3 linked regions of the Diceros bicornis minor genome follow. The protein of the gene in region 3 interacts with the protein of the main gene of each other region in a pairwise test. Links are inferred from orthologs where the notes say so. Each region holds a gene or a part of one and is shown on either strand. Other genes may lie near its edges. The genes, in order: CHD2, TOP3B and TRIM41.

What was found.
Region 1: the proteins of TRIM41 (region 3) and CHD2 interact in binary tests that used the Homo sapiens proteins (3 or more experiments, as listed by UniProt). The two-hybrid records come from large-scale screens. The link is inferred for Diceros bicornis minor from reciprocal best matches to the Homo sapiens genes TRIM41 and CHD2.
Region 2: the proteins of TRIM41 (region 3) and TOP3B interact in binary tests that used the Homo sapiens proteins (3 or more experiments, as listed by UniProt). The two-hybrid records come from large-scale screens. The link is inferred for Diceros bicornis minor from reciprocal best matches to the Homo sapiens genes TRIM41 and TOP3B.

What each region holds. Positions count from the first base shown.
Region 1 is NC_080744.1:87,826,775-87,834,682, forward strand, and holds the start of CHD2 (chromodomain-helicase-DNA-binding protein 2), read right to left. Parts: upstream 5,273-7,908; 5' UTR 4,813-5,272; coding exon 4,706-4,812; intron 1,130-4,705; coding exon 898-1,129; intron 1-897. UniProt on the Homo sapiens protein: ATP-dependent chromatin-remodeling factor that specifically binds to the promoter of target genes, leading to chromatin remodeling, possibly by promoting deposition of histone H3.3.
Region 2 is NC_080774.1:30,421,387-30,429,294, reverse strand, and holds the start of TOP3B (DNA topoisomerase 3-beta-1), read left to right. Parts: upstream 1-3,671; 5' UTR 3,672-3,792; intron 3,793-4,575; exon of another isoform or gene 4,576-4,755; intron 4,756-7,263; 5' UTR 7,264-7,378; coding exon 7,379-7,448; intron 7,449-7,908. UniProt on the Homo sapiens protein: Releases the supercoiling and torsional tension of DNA introduced during the DNA replication and transcription by transiently cleaving and rejoining one strand of the DNA duplex.
Region 3 is NC_080740.1:94,207,821-94,215,728, reverse strand, and holds the start of TRIM41 (E3 ubiquitin-protein ligase TRIM41), read right to left. Parts: upstream 4,261-7,908; 5' UTR 4,250-4,260; coding exon 3,440-4,249; intron 1-3,439.

The sequences.
Region 1 (7,908 bases), on a different chromosome or scaffold from region 3:
GGCCATGCTGTGGCGGTGTCCCATATAAAGCGGAGGAAGATGAGCACGGATGTTAGCTCAGGGCCAGTCTTCCTCAGCAAAACGAGGAGGATTAGCATGGATGTTAGCTCAGGGCTGACCTTCCTCATGAAAAAAAAAGAATAAAAACTGACTTAGCATAGAGCTCTTAATTTCATTAAGACATTTTATTTTTAGATTTCTAAAAGAAACATTCTTCTGTATTTTCAGTGATTCAAACATAATGGTTTCAAAATGGAATTTTAAAAGATGAGCTGCATTCTTATGATTAATTAGACCAAGTCATTAATTTCTCCCCAAAAGGAATGCATCCCTAAGTAAGGGCATCAATGAGAAAACGCTATGCAACTCAATTTTTGCCTTTTTGCATTCTTTGCTGGAAGACTCTTCTCTGTTAAACAAAGAATACCTACACTGCCTAGGTACAGATCATATTTTTTCTGTGGGAAGTATTTCTCTTCCATTATTCAGGTAACAAAAACTGCCCTTATTCTTGGATTACAATTATCCATCGCTAAACTTTACAATTGCATTCAACAATCATCTGTCAATGATTCCCTCCGGTATTATTCAGTATTGTACAAAAAAATAATTTTGACTGCCTTTTTTAAAAGTTAAAAACCAAAACTATAAAAAATTTGTTTTTCTGTCCTATAATTTGATGGTTCATGTAATGGTTTTCCTTATAGCCCTGTATCCACTATATCAATTGGTAAAGCAGAGAGCAGTCTGCATTTACATCCATACACAGTCCATTATCAGAAGAGGTGGCTGTAGTTTTCATTATCAAGATATACTAATGAGATTTCCATGGGAAATAAAGGTCTGCTAGCTGGTCCTCGCTGGCAGTACATTTGCACTGTACAGCAAAGCAGATACCTTCTTCACATCAGCTATCCGTTCCTTCTTAGAGGCTGGCTTCTCTTTGGCTTCTGGAAGGACTGGCTGAGATTTAGAACCTGCCGATTCACTTTCAGATTCCGACTGACTCTCTGAAGATTCAGAACTGCTGTTCGACTCGCTGCCATGTCCACTTCCTGGATCGCTGCCCTGCTCACTCTCTGACTGGCTGCCTGAGTCTGAACCCGAAGCTTCTTCAGATGCTGAATGACTTAATTAAAAAAAAAAAAAAAAAAAAAAAAGATTTAAAAACTGCCACATGAATCTGTAAAAAAAAAATCCTAGCAGTAAAATGACAGTAGATAGTAATTTGGGTAATACAGGATCAATATTTTCAAATTCACTTTTATGTTCTTATATTACAAATAATGTCATTACTATCATTCTCAACATCCCTAATAGCTACCATTTCCTGAGTGCTTACATGATGCCATTTACCAGCTAATTTATATAGATTAGCTCCTTTACAAAAACTAGGAAGGGGGATATTATTTTCTCCTTCATTCAGATGAGGAAAAACTGAAGCTTGGAAGGAGTTAAGTAACTCTCCAAAGATGACACAGGTAGGATTTGAAACCAAGCCGATCTGTCTGCATCCACTAAGTCTTACTTGTTCAGTATCAGTCCCTCCCTCCTCAAGACAAAAACAAAATCAAAAGGGGAAAGAAAAAACCAACACAGAACAAAACCAAACCAGGGCAGAGTTACCCAAAGGGTAAGAATGCAATCTGGTTGCAATTATCCAATCAGTGGTTCTCAACAACAGGTGCAAATTAGGCTCATCTGGAGAGCTACATAAAAACATATACACATTAACCCCAAACCAGAGGTCCTGCCTTGGAATCTCCTGCAGTGAGTGCTACAACTAGTAGACTTAAGAGAACAAAATAAACAAAAACAGCACTCTGATTTGACTGTGAATGACTAATCCAATAAAAACTGCATCCCCGCCCTTTCTCATTCCGAACACCCCTCAGGAAAGAGCAACCTAAGTAGGCAATGAAAGCTGAAACAACTGAAAGCTGTGGGAAGATAAAATATCAACCTTGGGAGCTGAGAAGGGAATACACCCCCCCTGTTCTCAGTAGTGAAAAAGCAATTCAGGGGCATGCTGGTAGGAGTGAAGATACTTGAAAGAGAAAAGACTTCAAATTGATGGATGCTACAGGAAAAGACGTGGACAGCTCACTCAACTCTTTCGCTTAAAAACTACCTTTTCATTTAGGAGCGGCAGAGCAGAGAAAGGGAGGCAAGTGGCAACCTGCAACCCAGAGGAACATTAACTTAACAGAAAAGTCCTTGAGTTTAGCAACCAGGAAACGAAAGAGACATGGCATGAAGCCAGAAAGGGTCAAGAAGGGAGGCTTCATATTTACCACCACTGTTATCTTCCAAGCTAGGAATGAGGTCATATCACTTGACAAACACGCCCACAGAACCAACCTGGCAGTACACTGGAAACTGGCATCGACCCAAAAGTCCCATGTGATCCATAGTAAGTAAGCACATTACAGTTCAGGGGCCTTTCAGTTAAGATGAGGAAGCAGTGAGAATGATGGGGGGGGAGGGGGCAGAGAAGAGAAAAACCATTTATTAATTGCCTGATCATCGAATAGGTACCCAGCACTGCATTAAGTACTTTATATGTATTATTTTGCCTATTCCCCATGACAACACCATTAGGCATTATCATCACCATGAGCAGAATGAAAAAACAGCTGTTTTAAGTAACTTAGTCAATGACAAAACTAGAAAGGGGGTTTGGGGGTTAGGGCAGGGATTCCACCCCAAGCCTGGCTCTAAAGCCCGTACTCTTTCTATTTTACCACAGGGGTTCAAAATCTTAAGAGATTCAAAAAATAAATGTTACTCCTGATAGACAATGTCCAAAACCAGTCAGACATCCTTAACTGTGGCTCAACACTTTCAGGCCCTCCTTATACTTCCTCACTCCTTGGCCCTTTGCACAGTTAAAGTGGACTAGTCCAGGTGACTAAGGCATCTTAAGTCATTTATTCTCCACCTATGACCAATCAGAAGGTGGTCACCAGGCAAGAGATAAGAAAGAGGAAGGCTGGATAGTACAGTTAAAAAGTGCAGGCTCTGGTATCCACGGCTTGGATCTCAGTCCTAGATCATCTCAGGCCTGTGCCATCTCTTAACCTGTGCCATCCTCTGTGACTGTACCTGTAGGGTCATGAGAGCATCAAACGATAAATGAAAGCAGCACTCTACAAATGCCAAAGCCTTACCCAAACATTAGAAATTTCAGAATTTCACATTCAAGCTCAGATTCCCCTTCTAACATAAAGTCCTTCCCAGCTGGCACGCATTGGTGAGACAGTACCACACAATCCATGGCGCTAGTTGCAATTTGTTTGTTTTGCCTCCACCATTTGCTCACTGACAGAAACGTAGAGGCAGCACCAGAATTTCCTTATAAGTAAGGAATTTAGAAAGGGCAGTCTACTTGAAAGGTGTTAGGGATATACCCGGAAGCTACATTTATATAGCGGAAGCAGCTAAGTACTTGGAGAAGCCTGAAAGATTAGGGAGCTAGTGCTGCCCACATCCTCCAGCCACCCTGGGCATGGGCACTGGTAACATCCAATCTCAGCATGCCCCGTGAAACCTGGCCTCTGCCAATTTCTCAAGACTCATCTCTTAACCATTCCTTCTCCTTACTCTCACTGCTCCAGCCATTCTGAACTACTTGTAGAGCAGAAAGTAAGCCCTAGTATTGCTCATCTCCAACCTCTGCTTCCACCTAAAGCTAAATACCTCTCTAATTCTTGAGGCCTCAGGTATTACCTTCTCTAGGAAAACATCCTTTGCACTTTCCAATCCTAAACTTTGTGCCTATGAGGTACTTCCATAATACTCCATTATAGCATCTCTGTCATAGCAGTTACTACCACTGGAAATTGAAAATAGGCAGCCTCATTTCAGAGTCTGAGCTGCAACCACCATACTCCGCTGACTCTCCTCACTTTTAGCAATGACACACATCCTGGCCTAGAAGACCGACGCCAGAGCCCCAGCTGTTAACATCTACACTACTTTGCCTCCCATTTGTTCCATTTTATACAAGTAATTTGTTCACCTCCCCAAAAGACTTGAGAGCTAAGTCGTAGTCTTTGATGTTCCCCATGCCTGGTATACTAAAGAAAAGAATGGACAGGGGGACTTAAGTGACTTTGCTAGAATATGCAATCTTTTCGAAATCCTTTTGAAATGAATGGTTTAGTTTTTTAACTACTATAATGCTTAACTCCAGACAAGAGATGAAGTTTAGAATCACATTTTTGCAATCACCACCAACTAAAATTGTCACAGGACCACAGTATGGTTGCCACGAAACATAAAACATTCCAACAAGATAGAAAATCTTCAACTACAAACTTAAAGAACCAGAAAGCCACAAAAAAAGCAGAGTTGGTCTGCTCAAGTTAACTACAACAGTTTGGTTAGCTAGAAATCCTTATAGTGTTTTGTGCTGAAAAGCAGTAATCATTGCCGATATAATGGAAATGTCCAATGCCAATACCCATGTCAGAGTACATGTAAATGTCTAAACATTTCACTCCCTTCGAACTGCCTCATAGTATGATATGCTACATTTTATTTAGTCTGTCCCCTATTAATGAGACTTTTAGGTTATTTTCAAGTTATTCACTTAACCAATAAGCTACAAATATCCTTGATACACTTCCATATTTCTCTATTTCTGAGTAGAATATTTAGATTTCCAAATTGTTCACCGTAAACCAATAAAATTATAAATAACCTTTTACATGTCTTCTTGTGCAGCTCTGTATTTCCCAGTTGGTGTAGGAGAGCGACCTCTAGACATGTAACAACACATACAGTACATTTTAGGTAAAAAACAGCCATATTTCTATCAGCACATATCTATGTGCATAAACACATTTTAATCACTAAATTGCTAACAGGGGTTTATTCTCTTGGATGGGTTATTTGAAGTATACTAGTGGATCTCATGAACTACTTGTGTAATTCCAAAAAAAAAACACAACTTACTATGAAAATCGAACCCAGGAAAAAACAAACACCACATTCACAACTGTATTTACCTCTGGGGGAATTTTCAGCAATGAGGGAGGCAGATGTGATCAGAGAATGATATTGGTGATATTTTATGACTGAAGCTGAGTGGTGAGTTCATCGGTGTTCATTATGTAAGTATTAATCTTTTTAATGTTTAAAATAGCTAATAAATCCAACCAAAAGAGTCAAATCCAAGGCAAGGGATGTAAGTACACCCAATCCTCCACAAAACGAGCTAAAGATTTGAATGAGAGTAGGACTAGGTTTTAATTATTTTTTTATAGGTGTTTCTTTTTTATAGGTGTTATTTCATAGGTGTTTATTTTTCGAACCAGTAAGTTAAATTTAATAGACTTAAAATAATATTCAGAGGAAAACGGTTTTTTAAAAAGATTCTTAATAAAGGCATAACAATTAATTTGCATACTTCTCCTAGGAGGACAAGTTCCTAAATATTGAAATGGAAAAGGAATATTAAAAAAAAAAAAACGATAAATACCTCCATATTTAAGGCACTGATAGTCTAATTATTCTCTCAAAGGATAGAATATTTCCTGAAATATTATGCAAATTTGCTATTAATGCCTAATTATAATACTAAATACTATTTAAACTAAATTGTAGTTTGCAATGGTGACCTAGAGAAGACAATGTGGAAAATCCACAAGACTCTAACAAAAACCGTCAAATAGAGTTAGCAAATGAGGAGTCTTTTAACTAAGCTTTCGCATAACCAAAAAGTAATAAAATTACCTGATTTCCAATGGCATAATAATTATAAGGCAATTAAAAATGGAATATTCAGCAATCATTATCTACCATGTAGAATCCTCATGAAAAAGAAATTTATCTGAAAATTACTCAAAATCTAAGTTGCAATCACTACAAGGGAAATACAATGCAAAAATAAAAAGGACTCAAGTCAAAACTGAGATTTTTATATTCCAAAAGAAAATAAATGCTTATAAAAAAAGTTTAACACTTCTTTTCAGTTGTGGATAAGGATTTGGTATATCTTCAAAATCCTTTTTGAAGTAGGCAAAAATGAAGTGATTAAGAATTCTTTACAAGTGGACTTTCAAAGCAAGCAGGATTAACAACTACTTCTCCCTTTTTAATTTTTAATTGCCGTTTTCCAAGTGGCCACAAGAGGGCGGCACAGCAACACTTCTCTTAAAAGAGCAAGCCTGTGGGTTCTCTGCCCAATAGCTGCCATTTCAGCACTTGGGTGGTGGTGATCTTCCTAAACTTACAAAATGGCAGCACTGCTTGGCAGAGCATGTTTTTTTGTTGGTGGTGGTGGTGGTGAAAGCAAAATCTGGTAAAAATGCAAAGCAATCTACACTGGAATTCCATAAAACTTATTTCCAGACTAAGCTCTATCAATGAGCTAATATTTATGGAGTACTTATATAGCAGGTATATGCAGAAATTCTCCTCTCCTACGACAACCCTATAAGACAAATTATCCTCATTTTACAGAAGGGGCTTAACCCAAGAGTGTGTATATGATGTCATCCCCCACCCCCACAGTCTGAATTATGGGATCCACACTATTAACCTGAGTGGTATTGCTGTCCCCATCATACATACATTCTTCAGTTAAACAGATTATCAAACCACCCAGGGCTGATGCAGAACAATTCCTTTTCAATCCCTTATGTGTGTCTTAAGAGGACAGAAAGGCAAAGATCATTAAGTCATGAGTTTCCTATTGATACAGAATACTGGATCTAGTTCCTTAAATAAATGTAACTGCATCTTTAAGACCCTCTCCACCTCTGGTTCAAGTCCTATGATTCTAAAGAATAAGCTTCACTATAAACAAGGGTAAAAGACAAGTAACAGACTGAGAAAAGAAATTTCAATGTACACACAACAAAAGAATTATACATACAACACATGAAGAATTACGTATCAAAGAAAAATCAAATAGAAAACCGGGCCAAAGAAATGGACATGCAACTACAGAAAAGAAACTGAAATGGCCAATAAACTTATGAAAAGGTAATTAAACCTCTACGGTAATTTGGGAAGTGTATATTAAACAACAGATTATTTTACACTCATCTGCTCTGCAGAAATTAAAAAGTCTGATAATACTAAATGATGGCGAGAAAGTGGGGAAAATAGTACTCATATACCATTACTGAAAAAGTAATCAGTAGAGGCTTTGGAAAGCAACTTGGCATTATCCAGTAAACCTCAAAATATGCATACGAATCATGCAATCCAATCTGTGGGTGTATAACCTAAACAAATTATCAAATTCGTGAGGAGGTGGGAAGTATAAAAATGTTTAGAGCCCTGCTCATAAGATCAAAAAAAGGAAATAATCTAAATGTGCATGTATGAAAATCTAAAAATAAAATGTGAATAGTCATACTATGCAATTAACTACAATAGTTAGAATAGGGACGAATTAGATCTATAAATATCAACATGACAATTTCAAAACTATATTTTTAAAACAAAACACATTACGTGAACCATACACGTTTTCAAAATGCCAATGTTTTTATATGCCAATTTCATGAAAGTGACAAGGAGAAGGCGTAAACAGGATTTTAACCATATCTTATTTAAAACTTTAATTGTATTCTTTGAATTTTTCTGAATTTTTCAAAAAATGGCTGTACTTCTAACATTGCAGAATTGATCAGTGTATTCAGGAGTAGACCTTCCTGGTATTTGACAGTTCTGGTATTTGACAGTTCTTCTGTAAATTACTCTAACACTGGTAACACTATGGATCCTCTTTCCAGAAAAAGGCACATGTATAAGAAAAAAAGCACACAAAAATGCTGCTTGCAATTTCGGGGGGTAAAAGGCCAAGTTCCATCAGTACCTCCCAGATTAAGAAATCCAGTAGTAAAGAGGGAAAAAAAAATCTACCTTTAATAAGCATGTTTCTAAAATTCC
Region 2 (7,908 bases), on a different chromosome or scaffold from region 3:
CATGGGATTGTGCATGAGATGTCAAGAAAAGACTTGCACTTTTGGTTCAGTTTTCTGATCATCTGGGGGAGCCTTAGTTTGCAAGTTGCTGTCATGTATGATTCCTGATTTAAGAAAAACAAAGGCTGAGAAACTAGAAGAACGACAATGTCTTGGTTGTAGAGAAATAAACTCTGAGTTCCATTAAGGAGCCTGCAGCCTAAGGAACTAACTTTCCCTACTTGTGGGGAGTCTAGGCCAGGCCAGTGGACAGCAGCGGAAGCCAGAGAGTGAGGCAAGAGCTGAGGTTTGTTTCTTTCAAGCACCACTTATCAAAAGGATTTTCCTTTCTCCTGTTGAATTGCCTCACTGCCTCTGTCAAAAATCAATTGACACACACATGCTTGTCCCAGACTGGGAGCTCTGTCACACGCGTCATTGGTCTCTGTCTGTCTCCTTCCGCCAGCACCATGCTGGCTGATGACTGTCTTACAGGAAGGAGTGAGATCAGGCCATGTAAGTCTCCCAACCTTGTTCCTCTCTTTCAAGCATATAAAATAAATAAACAGACAAAACAAATTTGAGAAACAGTTACAAGTTTAGAAGATAGGCCAAAAAAAAAAAATCCGACACATATATAATAGGAGCTTCTGAAAAGGAAAAACAAGAGAATAGTCTCAAGTCAAGTACAGACACAGATTCAAGAAAACTTTCCTGACATTAGAAAAAAATTGTTTGAAACCATATATTCAGAGGGAAACTGTGAACCTGAGAAAACTGATCACAATGACCGACACCAAGATGCGTTCTAGTAAAATTACTAAACTTAAAAGAAAAAGAAATATACTTTGGGCATCCAGGCAAAAAAAAAAAAAACAAATCACTCACAAGAGAAAGAAAATAAGACTACCAGACTTTTTGAGAGCAACACTTTATACCAGAAGAAATTGGAGTGACATATTTAAGATACTCAAGGAAAGAAAATGTGAGCCAAGGATTTTAGGTCCAGCCAAACTCACTTCCAAGTATAAGGAGCATACCATAGTCAGCCACAAAGGCAGAGATGCACAAGGAGCTGACGTAAATTAGAAGTAAGTACAAGAAACACAAAAATGCCTGAATTGATTTACAAAACATCATAGTGAGAAAAAAGAATAAAATTTACCGGCCGGCCCCGTGGCTTAGTGGTTAAGTGCGTGTGCTCCGCTGCTGGTGGCCCAGGTTCGGATCCCGGGCGCGCACCGATGTACCGCTTCTCCGGCCGTGCTGAGGCCGCGTCCCACATACAGCAACTAGAAGGATGTGCAGCTATGATATACAACTATCTAGTGGGGCTTTGGGGGGGGGGGAAGAATAAAATTTACCCAGCAGACAATGTCATCAGTGTGCTACAGGAGTCGGGAGGTTTGAGTCTCACTCCCCCTGGGGTCTGGAGCTCAGAACCATGCAGGCTCACCTGTGGTGTCATAGGAGTGACAGTAATAACTAGCCTTGTCTTCCACCTGGAGTCCGGCGATGGTTGGGAAGGCTGTGTTGCCCAACTTGCAGCCAAAGAACCAAGTTGAGATCCCTAAGGGCCGATTGTTGTTCTTGTAGATGAAGACTTTGGGGACCTGGCACATGCTGGTACCAGTTTGGGGCATATCCCCTGATGTTGCTGCTGCTTCCTGTGTAGCGTACTGTGACCATGTCTCCCGGGGAACCCCAGCACAGAGGCCAGCTGAGTCAGCACAGACTGGGCCCTGGAGTCTGGAAAGATAGAGAACGAGAAGGAGTGAGAAGCCCTGTGGCAAGTGGGTGAGAACTTGACTTCTGGAACCTGGCTGCCTAGTCGTGAAACCTGGCGCTGCCATTTACATCTGTGTGACCTGTTTCCTTATGTGTAAAATAAGGATAATAACAATAATACCTAATTCCTAGTGTCATGAGAATTAAATGTATTCATAATAGAAAAGTGCCTAGAACAGAGTAAGCGCTGGGTGGGTGTTAACTATTTACAGTGTTAGCAAGACCATGGCCCAGCCTATGCCCCACCAGAGAGAAGAGACCCAGGAGCTCTCAGGTGTCCCATCCACCACAACTAGGCGCCTGTGCATAAGTGAGGAGAGTGTAGGGGTTCCTCCCAACGGTGAGGAAGTCAAAGCGTTCCTCTGAATCTGGGTCATTTGTCAACATAAGTGTCCCCGGAATGGCCTGCCCCACAGCTCCCTGGGAGGTCTGTGGGGAGGACTCCCCAAGGGGCTCTCCAGGCAGCAGGGGAGCACAAGCAGCTGCAGTTTCCCAGCTCCGCGGAGAATACTCAGACAAGCAGGCTTCCAGAGCTGACCATTCAGCTCCCCTGCCAGGCCCAGGCCTCAGGTCCTCCTTCCTACTCTGTGGAATGAACCCCAGAGCTGGATTAAACAAGCAGTGGGGCTCTGGTCTTGCCTCTCTGCCAACTGGACATACTCTTCAGATCCAACCTTAGTCCTGGCTGCTGTCCGCCGGGGCCTGTGTGGAGAGCAGCCTGTAGGGCTCAGGGTGGGACCAGGAGGGAGATGGGACTTGGGTCAGTGTGGTGGCAGCTGAGGCCAGAAGGATTGATTGGATCTCAAATATGATTTGAAGACAGTGATGGATACCAAGTGAGAGAAAGAGAGGAATCCTGGAAGCCTTCAAGGCATTGGGCCTGAGCAGCCAGGAAGGTGAAGTTGCCGTCTTAGCAATGGAGAACCTGCCAAGGAGTGGGCTGGGAATCAGGAGTTCTGCTTTGAAAGGGAAATCTCACTGTAACTTAATTTTCTGCATTTCCCAACCTTAATTTGACCATAGAACTTTTCTTTTTCCAGACATCTGTCAGGGCTAGTATTCCAATAAAGACAAGTTGGGAACAGCATCTACAGGGAGCAAAGGAAACGTTTGTACGCTGTTATTTAAAAGATATTAAAATCAGGTCATGAAAATTATTTTTAACTTTCCATAATCTTAATGCTCTAACACAAAAAAGATTACTTTTATTTTCCAATTCATCTTCCAGATATATTTTACAGTTTATTTATTCATCCACAAATGTTTGTAGCATTGAAAGAAGCCTGCTCTACAAACATCTGTGGTTTGTTTTTCGGTTTTTTATTGTGGTAACATTGGTTTATAACATTATATAAATTTCAGGGGTACATTATATTGCGACTTCTGTATGGACTACATCGTGTTCATCACCAAAAGTCTAGTTTCCATGCGTCACCATACGTGTGTGCCCCTTGACACACACACACACACACACACACACACACACCTGTAACCACCAGTCTGCTCTCTGTTTATGCGTTTGTCTGTTGTGGTGGTGGTTGTTGTTGTTTTATCTTCCACATAGGAGGGAAATCATGCATATTTGGCTTTCTCCATCTGACTTATTTCACTTAGCATAATGCCCTCAAGGTCCAACCGTGTTGTCGCAAATGGCACGATTTCATCTTTTTTACGGCTGAGTAGTAATATACACACATCTGTAGTTTTTAATTATTTTAATTATTAACAGCATACACGTTTCCATGCTTATCATCTAGTTTTCATCATCATTGTAATGATGATTGTCATTATTGCCTCCGGGGCGGGGAAGAATGGGGTGGAGGGATTAGGGATCTCGGCAGATGCGGTGGGCAAGGGCCAACTCGGGGCGTGCTCCCGGAACGCGACAGCCACGGAACCCGCGGACGCAGGTGTGCGGGCACCGGCGGGGAAACGCGGGGACGCCAGCAGCGGCCCGACCCGGAAGTAGAGTTGCCGGCGGCCGCCGCGAGCGGAGCTGAAGCCGGAGCCGGGGTGGGGCTGCGGGTGAGCGGCGGGCGGCGGGCTCAGGGATGTGGGGAGCGCGGGCGTTTTCCACGCACCGGGGGCCGCCAGCCCCGCGGCTTGGGCGAGGGTCCTGGGCCGGGCTCTTTGCATTCTCGCCTCTTCCCCGGCGGGGTGGACCCCCCCGAACCCCGGGACTGGTTTGGGGGTTCAAGGAGGTGGCGATGGGCCGGCACCTGGAGGGAGCAGGCGCTGCAGTTAATACTTTTCTTCATCGAACCTCCCGCAGTTATTGAGAGGGGTCTGTTGCCCGGATTTGTTGTCACGGGTGGGGAAACTGAGGCTCAGGGAGGCGGTCGGTCCACGCAGGTCAAGGCAGGGTCCACGCCGCCCCGGAGCCCTGGCTCGGCCTCGAGGGCGCCCGGGCGTGTTTCTCTGAGTTGTTGATGTGGGTGAGAGGGTACTTTTGTGAACAGACGAGCGAGAATCCAGGGGCAGTCATTTCTCAGAGGTGAAAAGAAAGATGATGGCCTCGTCCTGCCTATTTGTCGCTCAGCCGTTGGGAACAGGAGGTGAAAATTCAGCCCAACCAGGGCTTGATGGCCCGTGAGCCCCGGGGGGGTCCCTAGAGACTTGGCAGAGGTCACCTGACACTAGTCTGAATTGTTCTAAACCTCAGTTTACTCCTAGTTGAAGAAATGAGGACACCGCCAGCCCTGTGGGCTTGTTGGCAGGATTCAGTAGAGTAGCGTTTAGAGCTATAGCGCTACAGACGACCTTAATTAAGAAGGTGTGGTTTCTTCCCCTCTTTTCCTGACTCCATAGGTGTCTGGTCAAGTTCTGAGGTGGGAAATCCTAGGGCTGTAACTTCTGTCGGCCCACTGCCAGGCCTGCACTCCGGAGCTGAGTCCACATGTTCATGAGGGCTGACTTGAAAGGACTTGATCTGCAGTGGCTCCCAGAAGGACTCCTACCGTTGTGGTTTTGCTGGTGAGAGTTGACAGGGTAATAACAGGCTTACCTGCTGCTCCCTTTCACTTTCAGCCCTCCTAATTACAGTCCCAATTTAGGGTGTTTGCTGTCAACATCCCCTTAGCACTTGCTAATCTCCCTTTTTGAAGTAAGAGGACAGATGTCAGGCTCAGCACTTTGGCAGGCAGCAAGATCAAACTTGATGTGTCATGTGGGTTACCGGAAGGAACCGAGTTCTGGCCATTGATTACAGGCTTTCAGTTCCTATGAGGCTATAAAATTTCCCTTTTCTATATATTTAAGCTTTTTTAAAAAGCAAAAACGGAAGTAAATAATAATGTTGGTAAGGCAAAGCAGTAAGATGGTGTATAAATGTTCTCACACCATTGCTTTCAGCTTTCCTGCTCATTGGCTTCCATTTTGAAATTGCAGATGTGCCTTAATGGAAAAATAGGGAGGCCTCAAGATTAATCACAGTTACGACTGCAGAAATCTTTTAAGAAGTAGAACCTGGTGCAGTTAAAAACAGTGTGCCTGGCTGGACGTAAGGAAGCATGAGTTTCAGCCCCAACTCAGCAAACTTCCTAGGTTACCTTTGGAAAATCCCTTTCTCTGAGTCTTAGTTTGTTCTTCCTTGAGATGGTTGTACCGGATCATCACCAAGATCCCTTTCCCAGGACTCCCTGATTCTGTATCCTTAAAGGAAGTGGTATTTATTTTCCTAATAAAACAGTGATACTTAGAAATTACAAAGTACTCATGCAGAACTGAAGTATAAACTGTTGAACTAGAAGGTGTGTTTTGCCACATATCAAATGTGGACTAGCCGCTGCACAGCCTGGCAGTGGACAGGTGATCTGAAGCTGGGCATGATGCTGACGTGCTTTTGTGTGCACTGTCCAGTTGTATCCCTAGTCCTAGATAAATGAGGTAATCCCTTTGAAGATGCTAGGGCAAAATGTTTCTCTGGAAAGGGATCTTGAGACAAGAATCTGTTGAGCTCCTTCTTGGAAGTGGGAGTGCGGGGATGTGAGGTATTGCCCGGTGGCGCCTGTAGAGCTTGCTCTGGGTGAACTTGCGGCACCCACGTTTGAGTTCCCTGTCCCTACACCGTCATTCGCACGTGTGCTAGACATGGGTCTTTGCTGGGGAGAGAAACTCAAGACCGCTCGAGCTCTAGCTTGCTTTGATGAGTATTGTTGGAATTATTTCCTATTACAGAGGGCTAATTTCCTTATTATATAAACCACTCCAAAAATAAGATAACAACCATCAAGTTGACAAAAATGGGTAAAAATATGAATAGACAGTTCACAGAAAAGGAAGCCAAATGCTTTTAAACGTGAAGTGTGCCTCTGAATGTTGAGGGACTTAGGTGTTTGTCTTTTTCATACTAAAGTTCATATTTTCTAGTTTCATTTTTTTATTTAAATCTTTGCTAGAAATTGGAATCTGTTTTGGTGGAAGTTATAAAATAGGTGTCTGACTTTGTTTTTCTTACCATAAGGTTGCCCGGTTGTCTCAATACAAGTCTTTTTCTTATACAGTGCTATGTTTGTCAATGTCGGTGCCATACTTACAACAATCAGAAAGACAGAAAGGGTTCATATGTTTCTTTCACTCAGCCAGCGGGTATTAAATGTCCTCTGTCAAGCTCGAAACCAGCTGTTGAATTGCCAACAGTGATTCAGACATCAGGCCACTCGTGTGCAGCAGGAAGAAGAGGCAGTGACCAACCGTGGCATGATGGGCAGAGGGTTGTAAGGAACGGCCAGGAGGAAAGGATTCATCCCGCCGGCGGGTGTAGAGAGAGCTCTTTGAAGAAGAGTTAGCACTTGAGCTGGGCCTTCGGACAGTTGATCTGCATTCTCCAGGCTTGGCAAAACATTCCAAGCAAAGGGAACAGAGGCTTGAAAATGTGTTTTTTCTTTAGACGCTGCTGTCCAATTTAATTGGCCAGAGCATGGCTTGCAAAGTGAGAGGTGGAGTGGGGCGGGCGGGAAGATGAACTAGAGCCTGTGAAGGGCCTTGAAAGCTCTGCTGGGGACCAGATCCCCTGGCCAGTGGGTCTCAGGCCCAGTGGTGGGTCAGAAGGACCTGGGAGCCTGACCTGGGCATCTCCATTTAGAACAGCATCCCAGAGCACCCTGATGCTTAGGTGAGGTGGAGGTGCCGCTCTCCGCCCCAGGGAGTAAACAGAAGTACTGCACAGAGGAGGGCAGGGCATTCACCCTACCCCAGCCCCTTGGTCCGGGTCTAAAGGCCCAACGTCTTCCTAGCATGGATTTGGGAACAAAATTGACCTGAGGTCATGGGGCCACCTCAGCTTTTCCCAAATGAAGCCAAATTCCCAGGGTCATCTCTGAGCCAGTTCAGTTGACCTGACCAGTTGTTTGTATGTTAGATGTCTCCAAAGTTCCCTAATTTTTTTTTTTCTTGCCTCAGGATTATTTTTTCACTTTTTAAAGTGAGTTTCCTTGTTAGTGGTATAAGTTCCACTGGAAGCATTGCTATTTTCTGTGTGTGTTTTCTTCTCTTTAGGGGTCAGTGTTGACAGTGGTATTGAGCTGCAGGAGAGCAGTTTCTGAACTTCTTCATCGCCATTTCCCTGAAACTGGAGTGTGGAGGCCAAGGGTCCTGCCAGCTTTAAGACAGGATGAAGACTGTGCTCATGGTTGCAGAAAAGCCGTCCTTGGCCCAGTCCATTGCCAAAATCCTCTCTCGAGGTAGGGAAGACCAACCCCAGCGTTCTGTATGGCTTTGATCTGTAAGCCTCGTTGTTTCTACTTTACACATCATTTCTTTCTTTCTCCGAAGTGTGACTTCAGCCCGCTGGAGTAGATTCCATTCAGGACAGCAGGCGTTACTGAAGCACCTTGGTGTTAGTCACTGTGGGTGCATTTACTGCCATAGCCAGCATGAGCCAGGCCTGGGGCAGGCACAGTTCACAGCATAGGGGCAGGCAGGCGCCGATGGCCACTGGTCAGAGCACTGTCTGGTCAGGGTTGTTGGTCACAAGCAGCAGAAACCAGCCTTGGTAACTTAGAAAGGGAATTCACTAGAAGGAAGAAGACACAGCCGGGACACCACCCCAGTCTAAGTCTGACAAGGCCATGGCATCGTCACCACAGGACCCTTGCCACTGCCCTGGACCCTTGACAGTGGCAATTGCAGCCCACGCACCTT
Region 3 (7,908 bases):
TGGGGCTCAAAGCCTGATCCCCATCACAGGTATCAAATGAGCATCATACTCTCTTCTTCCCCTTTCTTCTCTTCAGATGATGACAAAGGCCTCCAACCCTCCACCTGCACTCATGTACAGAAGCCCTGGGCGTGTTCTCTAAACATAGGATCCTGCTGACTACAGAGCCCCACACTCAGAGTTGGGGTGGACCTCACTTGAGCCCCTCACCTCACAAAGTCCTTCCATATGAATATTCCTGCCTATGGTCCCTTCCCCCTCATGAGCATTCTTCCTCATAACTTCCATCTCTACTCTTTTGATGATTTTGTGCCTGTGCTAAAAATCCTTCAGTAGTTCTCCACCACTTGCAAAATATGAGGCTCTCATTGCCACTACATTTCTAGCCTCCTCTCCTACACCTACCCCTTCTACCTAGAATTTTAGTTTTAGCCACATAAAACTACTTGTCTTTTCCTGAGTATAATTTCATACCTTTATCCACGCTGTTCCTTCTGTCTGAGATAGCCCTTTTCCACTTGGCCCAAGGCATTCTTCCTTTAAAACCCAGCTACTTGACCATGGCCCTGATCCTTACCATCCCCAACTTCCTCTGTAATCCAAGGAAACATGAATACAACCTTTACAATACTTGCCAGGCACTGTAATCATTTACAAGTGTGCCTCCTCCAAGACACAGGGGCTCCTGTGGGCAGGAGCCCCACTTTACTTATTTCAATTTCTATGCTTCTCTCCGTCCATCTGCCTTCTCTCTCATTCAACTACTTGCTAAATGAAAAACAAAAACCCTCTCCTCCTAAGGTTTTAACCTTCACAGCAAATATGCACTTGAGCCGTGTGTTCCAATCATCTGTAGCAGGATCTTTTTCTTTGAAGGGCGGTTAGAGAGACCAGTAAGGGTGAGATAAGCCCGACCTATCTGCTCTTTCCCTTTTTATCTCCTCTACTACTTCTGCCCTCTCCTTCCTTTTCCTTGAGTGGTAATACAAGGCAGAAGAGCTCAAGCCTACACTCCAACCTGAACCTAAACGCAGACCTGAGGCAAGCCATGCTACCAGTTCCCTCATCTTAAGATGGGAATTGGGAATAAGAGAATCCACGTCATGGACAGTATGCTTAGCACAGTGTCTGCCATACAGCAAAAGATCAGTAAATGTCATCTAGTATTCCCTGTCTAGGCCTAGGCTGCCAATGACAGCCTGATAATGACCCTTGAACTAAAGAGGTTATTGACCCAGAGTAGAAAAGGCAGTTGTTGCACAGGATAAGCGGTTGTAGAAAAAAATTACAGTAATAATAAGATTACAATCAATCCATAATGTGAAAATAGTATAAACTACCCCAAATTTTACCTTTTGATATTACTTTCTACTTTTCTCCAGTAGTGTCAATAATTTCAACTCTATTAAGTCAGAATTCATGATGCTTAAATTTCCCACTTAATATTTTTCCTAAATTGTTGACAAAAAGTTCATAAGCACATATCCAAACAGAGTACTATTTAAGAGAAATTTTCAAAGACCTTCAACTTTTTAGGAGCTTCATTTATAGATCATTTGTGTGTTATTACCTATTCAATAAGGAAATACTTCTACAAAGTAACACTGTGCCAAGCTATTGCTAGTTAGTGTACGTATCTGAAAAGAATAAACTACCTACCTGTAAAATAGCCTATAAGTTGGAAAGGGCATCACTTGAATTAGTTCTACATAATAAAACTTACATATTTACATTTGCTGATCTGTTAATATCAGATTATTTGTGTCCATATGGCCTCCCCAAATTGCAGAGCTCTACTGGGGTGGCATTCAATAGATGTGGCTAACATAAATTAAAATCCAATTTCAGAAGCTCTTCGGAAGAATCCTGCAGAAGGAAGGTAGAGAAGAAGGAGTAGAATGCCCATGGATAGTCCACCCCAGGATCCAGTTAACAAAGTGAACATACATTGATGTTAACTAGGAACTGAGTTAACCGAGGGAATATTAAAGGGAAGGACTAAAGGAGCTCACAACCTCTCCTAATAACGCAGGGCCTAAAAGGCAGGCGATGTTACCAACGCAGTGATTCCCATGCTAGGCAGGGCTTTCTAAAGACATTCTCCTCGTCACTGATTCAGAATCCCTAGGGTACTTTTGAAATCTCCTAGTTATTGGGATAATCAGCCAGGTTTGACAGTTAGTGTGTGGAAGAAATAGTTACTTGTTATAAGGGGATGTAGGTCTGTCTTAGCTGTATCACTCACAGATCCAGACACGTTACTCTACAATTGTCATAAGACAAAAAAAGCTCTGCGCAGACCACACAGAAGCAGCTATCCTCTCCCCCTCCTGGTCCCACTGCTTCAAATCCATCTGGGCCTTCACTCAGTTCTGTCCTGGATGGCTATTTGTGCTGGCTGTCTCACAGAAAAATCTCCTTTATGTCCAAAAAGAGTCAGGATCAGAAGTAGGGGGCAAGATATTAACCAAACTAAAATCAGACTCCAAGAAGAAAAGTCACATGTCAGAAAAGTCAAACTAACAACAGACATTCAAATGGTGGTGACATTGTTAACAATATAGGCCAGGGGAGAAGGGGTCATAACCAAGTCCATCACTTACAAGTAGCTGTGTGGTCCTATGTATATATCTGTTTCCCAATCTGTAAAATGGAAACAGCATATCAAACTCACAGGGTTGTTTTGAGTTTTAAATGAGATAGTCCATGAAAAGTGCTTAGTAAGTGTTTGGTAATAATACTGGAGAAATTAAAGTTCAAAGGCATTCAGAGACTTGCCAGAGTGAATTCAGAGCCAGGTGTTCTGACTTATAAGCCTCTCCCTTTTTTCTGAATTCCCAGCGAAGAAGTTCCGGTCAGTACATCAGACTGATGCAGATCCAACAAAAATCCTCTGCGAGAACCACGCCATATCATGGGGTGGGTGGGATACCCATTAGAAGGCCTGTGTAGAGCATTTGTGTCTGACACTAGTGGTCATTTCTATGCTCCTGCTCCTCAGAGCCCTTTCTTGTTCTTTGAGGCCCCAAGTTCTTCCCATCTCCAGAGGTCTCAGTCAAAGACTTAAGACTAACCCAGAGGAAAATGAGACTGGTGGTAAAGCCCTACGGCCTGTCATCTGCACTCCTACACTTAGGGACAGTAGAAGTGTGAAACAGCAGTGGCTTTTCCCCAGGAGATGAAGCCCAGTGATATGGCATCACCAGCTTTGCCCAATTTACTTTGAGGAAGCCAGTCTTCCCTGGTCTTCTTCACTGTATGCTTTGTCTGTTTACAGGATCCTTCTCACTCTAACCCACCTTGGTGCCAGTAAGTCCTTGGATAAGAAGAATCAGTTCATCAGTACAAGAGATTCTTTGGGAGGATGACATGTTTCCTTTCCTAGCTTCTCTTACTTCCTCTCCACCCCCACTAAACTCCCTTCTTCTACTTCTCTCACCTTGTACTCCTGCACCACCTCCTCCAATGGCACCACGCTGTGCTGTTTGTGGCTCCTGGATTCTCGGCACACCACACAGATGGCCTCTTCGTCCACCTCGCAGAAGAGCTTCAGGGCTTCCTGGTGTTTGGGACAAATGCCCTGCTCGGTCCCACGGCTCCCTCGACCAGGAGTTGGGTGCATCTGTCGAATCACCTGGACCATGTTGGCCAGCTGCAGGTTGGGACGGAAGCTCCGCCTAGGAAAGCTCTTTCGGCACTGGGGGCAGGTGAAGCACCTCCGAGGGGCTGGAGGCGGGGGCAGTGGGGTGACGGGCTCTAGCTCTTCTTCCTCGTCCTCCTCCAGCACTTCCTCCTCGTCCTCCTCATCCTCCCCCCTCAGGTCCTCCTCCATGTCCCCCAAGTAGTAGTCCAGGTCTTCCTCCTCGTCCTCCTCCTCCCACACGTAGTCCATGTTATCCCAGTTGGACCCGCCCACGCCACTGGTCCAGAACACACCCTCCTCTTCCTCCTCGACCTCCTCCTCCATGTCACCCTCATACTCTTCATCCCGCATGGGGGTGTCCCACCCCCCACCGGCCCCCACAGCCTCCACTTCCTCCTCCTCCCCGTCCTCCTCCTCCTCCTCCCGGTCTAATTCGTCCCTGTCCTCTTCATCCTCCCCTCCCCACAACTGGGTTACACACACGCGGCAGAAGTTGTGCCCGCAGCCGATGGACACGGGGTCCGTGAAGTAATCGAGGCAGATGGCGCACACCGCCTCCTCCTGAAGGGTCTGCACGGGGTTGGGTGCCATGGCAACGGCAGCCATTTTAGTGTCCAGTCAGCCAGTGTAGACGGGCGGCGGGGGTCGGGGGTCTTCCCCCTCAGACGCCCTGACGACCCGGCCCCACTCCCAGCCCTGCCTCTTCACACTTTGCCTCAAGCGCAGCCAGAGAAATGTCCTCCCAACAACCCACCCCTCCACACACAGTACCCTACTCCCAGACGACAACCGTGTCCCTGCGAGAGGAGGGGAAGAACAGAGCGCCACTGCCAAGTCCCGCAAGTGGCCCTGAGTGCAAATCTGCCCTAACGCTCCCTTGGCCTCCTTATAAACCCCCGCCCCCCCCTCACTTCCTGGCCCCGCCCCCTCACTTCCGGCCTCCCTCCCAACACTTCCGGCGCCTGGGAGCCACCGCAGCTCGCGAGTTGCCTCCGCGGTTGCGCTACGCCCCCTTCTCCCTCTCTGCCCCCGCCGGGACCCTGGGCGACAGGAAACGGCGAGGAGACGCTCTAGCAGACACCCAGGAACAGGACAGGAGGGCTAGAACGATGGAGGCCCACGTCTCGGTGATGCAAGGGAGCGGGGAACGCAGGCGAAACAGAAGGACCGGCCTCCTCCATCTCCTGCCACTGGGGGCAAACTTCGGAAGGCGGTGGAAGCGCTTGGTGGCCCTCCGCTCTCGGTGCTATGACCGCATCGGCGCGGCGCCATCCTACTGACCAGACACGGAGTCGCAACAGCGACTCCCCGCAGCCCATGCCGGAAGCGGAGGGGCGGGCCCTGTGAGCTCCCTGAAGTACTTCCGGCCCTTCTAGGCGGAGGACTTTGTTGTTTGAGGACTCAGTCGTCCCTCGGAGACGGCGCAGGGGCGGGGCCTGCGACTCTTCTCCCCCCTCCTCCCCCCCGCCTCGCAGCTGTAGTCGGCGTTTCCACACCCGTTTTAGAAGCTGCGGTCCGGTCGCTGTCGCGTCCCAACTGCCCGTCAGTAAAAGACTGGTGACAGGTCGTTACCGGCACGTTCAAACGTGGAGCACTCGAGCTGTAAAATGGGAATCCTCTTAAAGATGTATTCTTAAGTGAAAAAAGCAAGGTGCTGAACGATGTGTAGAGTACACTACCATCTATGAAAAAGAGGGGAAAATGTTAAATGTATTTGATATCTTAATAGTCCTGTGTGTGCTCATGTAAAATAAGGGTAATAGTGCTTGTCCAGAGGGTTTTGTGAGATTAATGTCATGCAAAGCGACTAGAATGTTGCTTAGCACATAGTGTAATATAAGGTTTAGCGACCCTTTATCATCGTTGTCGTCTGTCTGGAAGAATCCTAGCAGCAGAGTTTCTCTGGGAAGGCTGAGGGTCCGGGGTAGGAAGGACACTTTTTCGTATATGTCGTTCTGTATCTTTTGAATTTTGAACCAAGTCAATGTATTAAAAAAGAAAACTTTTTTTCTAAATGTCATGGATTCATACAGCACTTTCTGAGCTGTGCACCACGCGCGCTCTGCACCCAAAATACCTCCAGGTCTGTCTGCATGGGGTCCCAGCCTAAGGGCAGGGACTCAAGTTGGGTTTGTGGGTTTGATTTTACTTGAGAGACTCTTATCCGGGATGTAGAACGGTATTGGGAAAGATGCCGCTGTGCTACCAAGAGCATCTCTGCGACATAGATTATTTGTGCGATAGAAATACTTGAGGCTTTTAACAAGATGACTGTTTAATTTTTTAAAAAACCGTGGGGGAAGTTACAGGACCATAACTCATGTGCGGAGCGCCCAGTGAGTGCCGGACGCCGCGCGATGCCAGAACCGGCACGCGAACTGACCTCGCTCCGGAGGGAGCCTGCGCGTGGACGCGCGCCACTAAGGGGCTGGTCTGCACGCGCCAAGCACGAGTCCTCGTGGGCGAACGGCTGTCCTAGGCCGTCCCGGGAGCTGTGGCTCTGCTGTGTGGGAGAGTGCGGCCGCAAGGCGTGACCGCGGCTCGGCCGGCCCGCGCAGCCCTGCGGTTCCCGTCCTGTGTAGAGTCCGGTGCGTGTCAGGCGGCCCGCCGCCATGCTGGTTTCCGTAGTGTAGTGGTTATCACGTTCGCTTCACACGCGAAAGGTCCCCGGTTCGAAACCGGGCGGAAACAACTTTTGCTCTCGCTTCGATTTCCGTTGTCATCTGCTCACTTCGCCTCTGGGGGAGAGGGGCTATCACCTGAAGGGAAGGACGGGTGTGTGTCCCTCTGTATCTCTGTTTCAGGGAGACGGGCAGTGGAGCAGGATCGCGGGAGAGCCGCACTCGCAGCATAGCACTGTAGATGCTTCAGTGTGAGTTCGGGGCCGCGCCTCAGCTAACCCCTTGCTTTGCCCTCGGAAGCCCCCACGGTCACCTCTCCTAGTCGAGGGGCATAGTCTTCGGATCCCCCGGCTCTAGTCTCTAGGACAGACCCAGGCATACAGTAGACGCTCCATAATACACGTGCAGTTGCTTCCCTGCACGTGGATCTTGGTCTCCTGGGACACAACACAGATGAGCGGGGAGGTGGTCAGGCTAGTTCAGCCTGTAGAACTTCAGATCCTTAATCTCAAGATCTGGGAGTTCGAGCCCCACGTTGGATGTGACCCTTTTTGGAAATGAAGATGGCGAAGACAACAAGCTCCTCTCGAGACCGAGAGCTAGTGGACCTCCGCATCCCCAGCGGTGGGCGCCCGTAGCTGAGCGGAAGACCTCGAATTGGAATGCGTTCGGCCCTAAGGCCCTCCCTGGCCGGAGGGGAGTGAGTGAGGGGCAGGCGCCGGCGGAGAAATTCCTGGGAGCCGGCTCCTCAGGCCGCCTTTTCGCTTGCTGAAATCCGCCTACCCACGTTCAACACGTATTAGGCGCCTTCTGTTTACCAAACGACAGGGTGTCCGGGGCGACACCTGGGCCGCCCGATTCGCGACCGCCTTACTCTGTGATTTAGAGGTTAGATTCCGCGCTCTCACCGCCGCCGCCCGGTTTCGATTTCCGGTCAAGAAAGAGGTGCCCTGGTAATCTGAGATCCTCGTCTTCAGTATATTCTATTTCTCAGTTTTAAGAGTCGATCTTTTTGTAAAATGTTGCCCCACGCAATCCGGCCTCCACTTTTCCCCCCACACATAAAGGAATGTAAAAATGTCCTTTATTTTGGAACACGCTAACATGAACATCCTCAGTTTACCCGTCTTGTCAAGAAATTCTTCCTGAACTTCAACTGAAATTCATTCCTTCCTGTTAACTGTTTCCTTAGTCCCGCAAATTCAGCCCGTTTTCTGTTTCTCATCTGTAGAAGTCTCCTCCACATACACAGCAGACCACAAGAGAAGTCTGTTGATCATATAAAGCTGGTTTATTTCCCTTGCTAAGCGAACGATACAAAGCCGATACAAAGCCTCAGTCTCGGAAGTGTATCGAAGCGGGGAGTTAGGGAGGGTTTACATGACACTGTGTGAAGGCAGTCTGGACGGGAATTGGTCAGAAAATGTCAAACAGCCAGAGTTGCTAGTAGTCCAGCCCCGCTCTGCTCAGGCCACCCTGGGGAGTTACTGTTACCGCAGTCTTATCTGGGAACTTATGAGTCTAAACAAGCTGGTGTTCCAAGAGTTTCAACTTTGACACTTAGTGTTGCACAAATACTTGCGGATTTGTTTGCAAATTGTGGTTTCAAGGTTATTTTTTACACCTTGACTGGGCCTGGAAAAC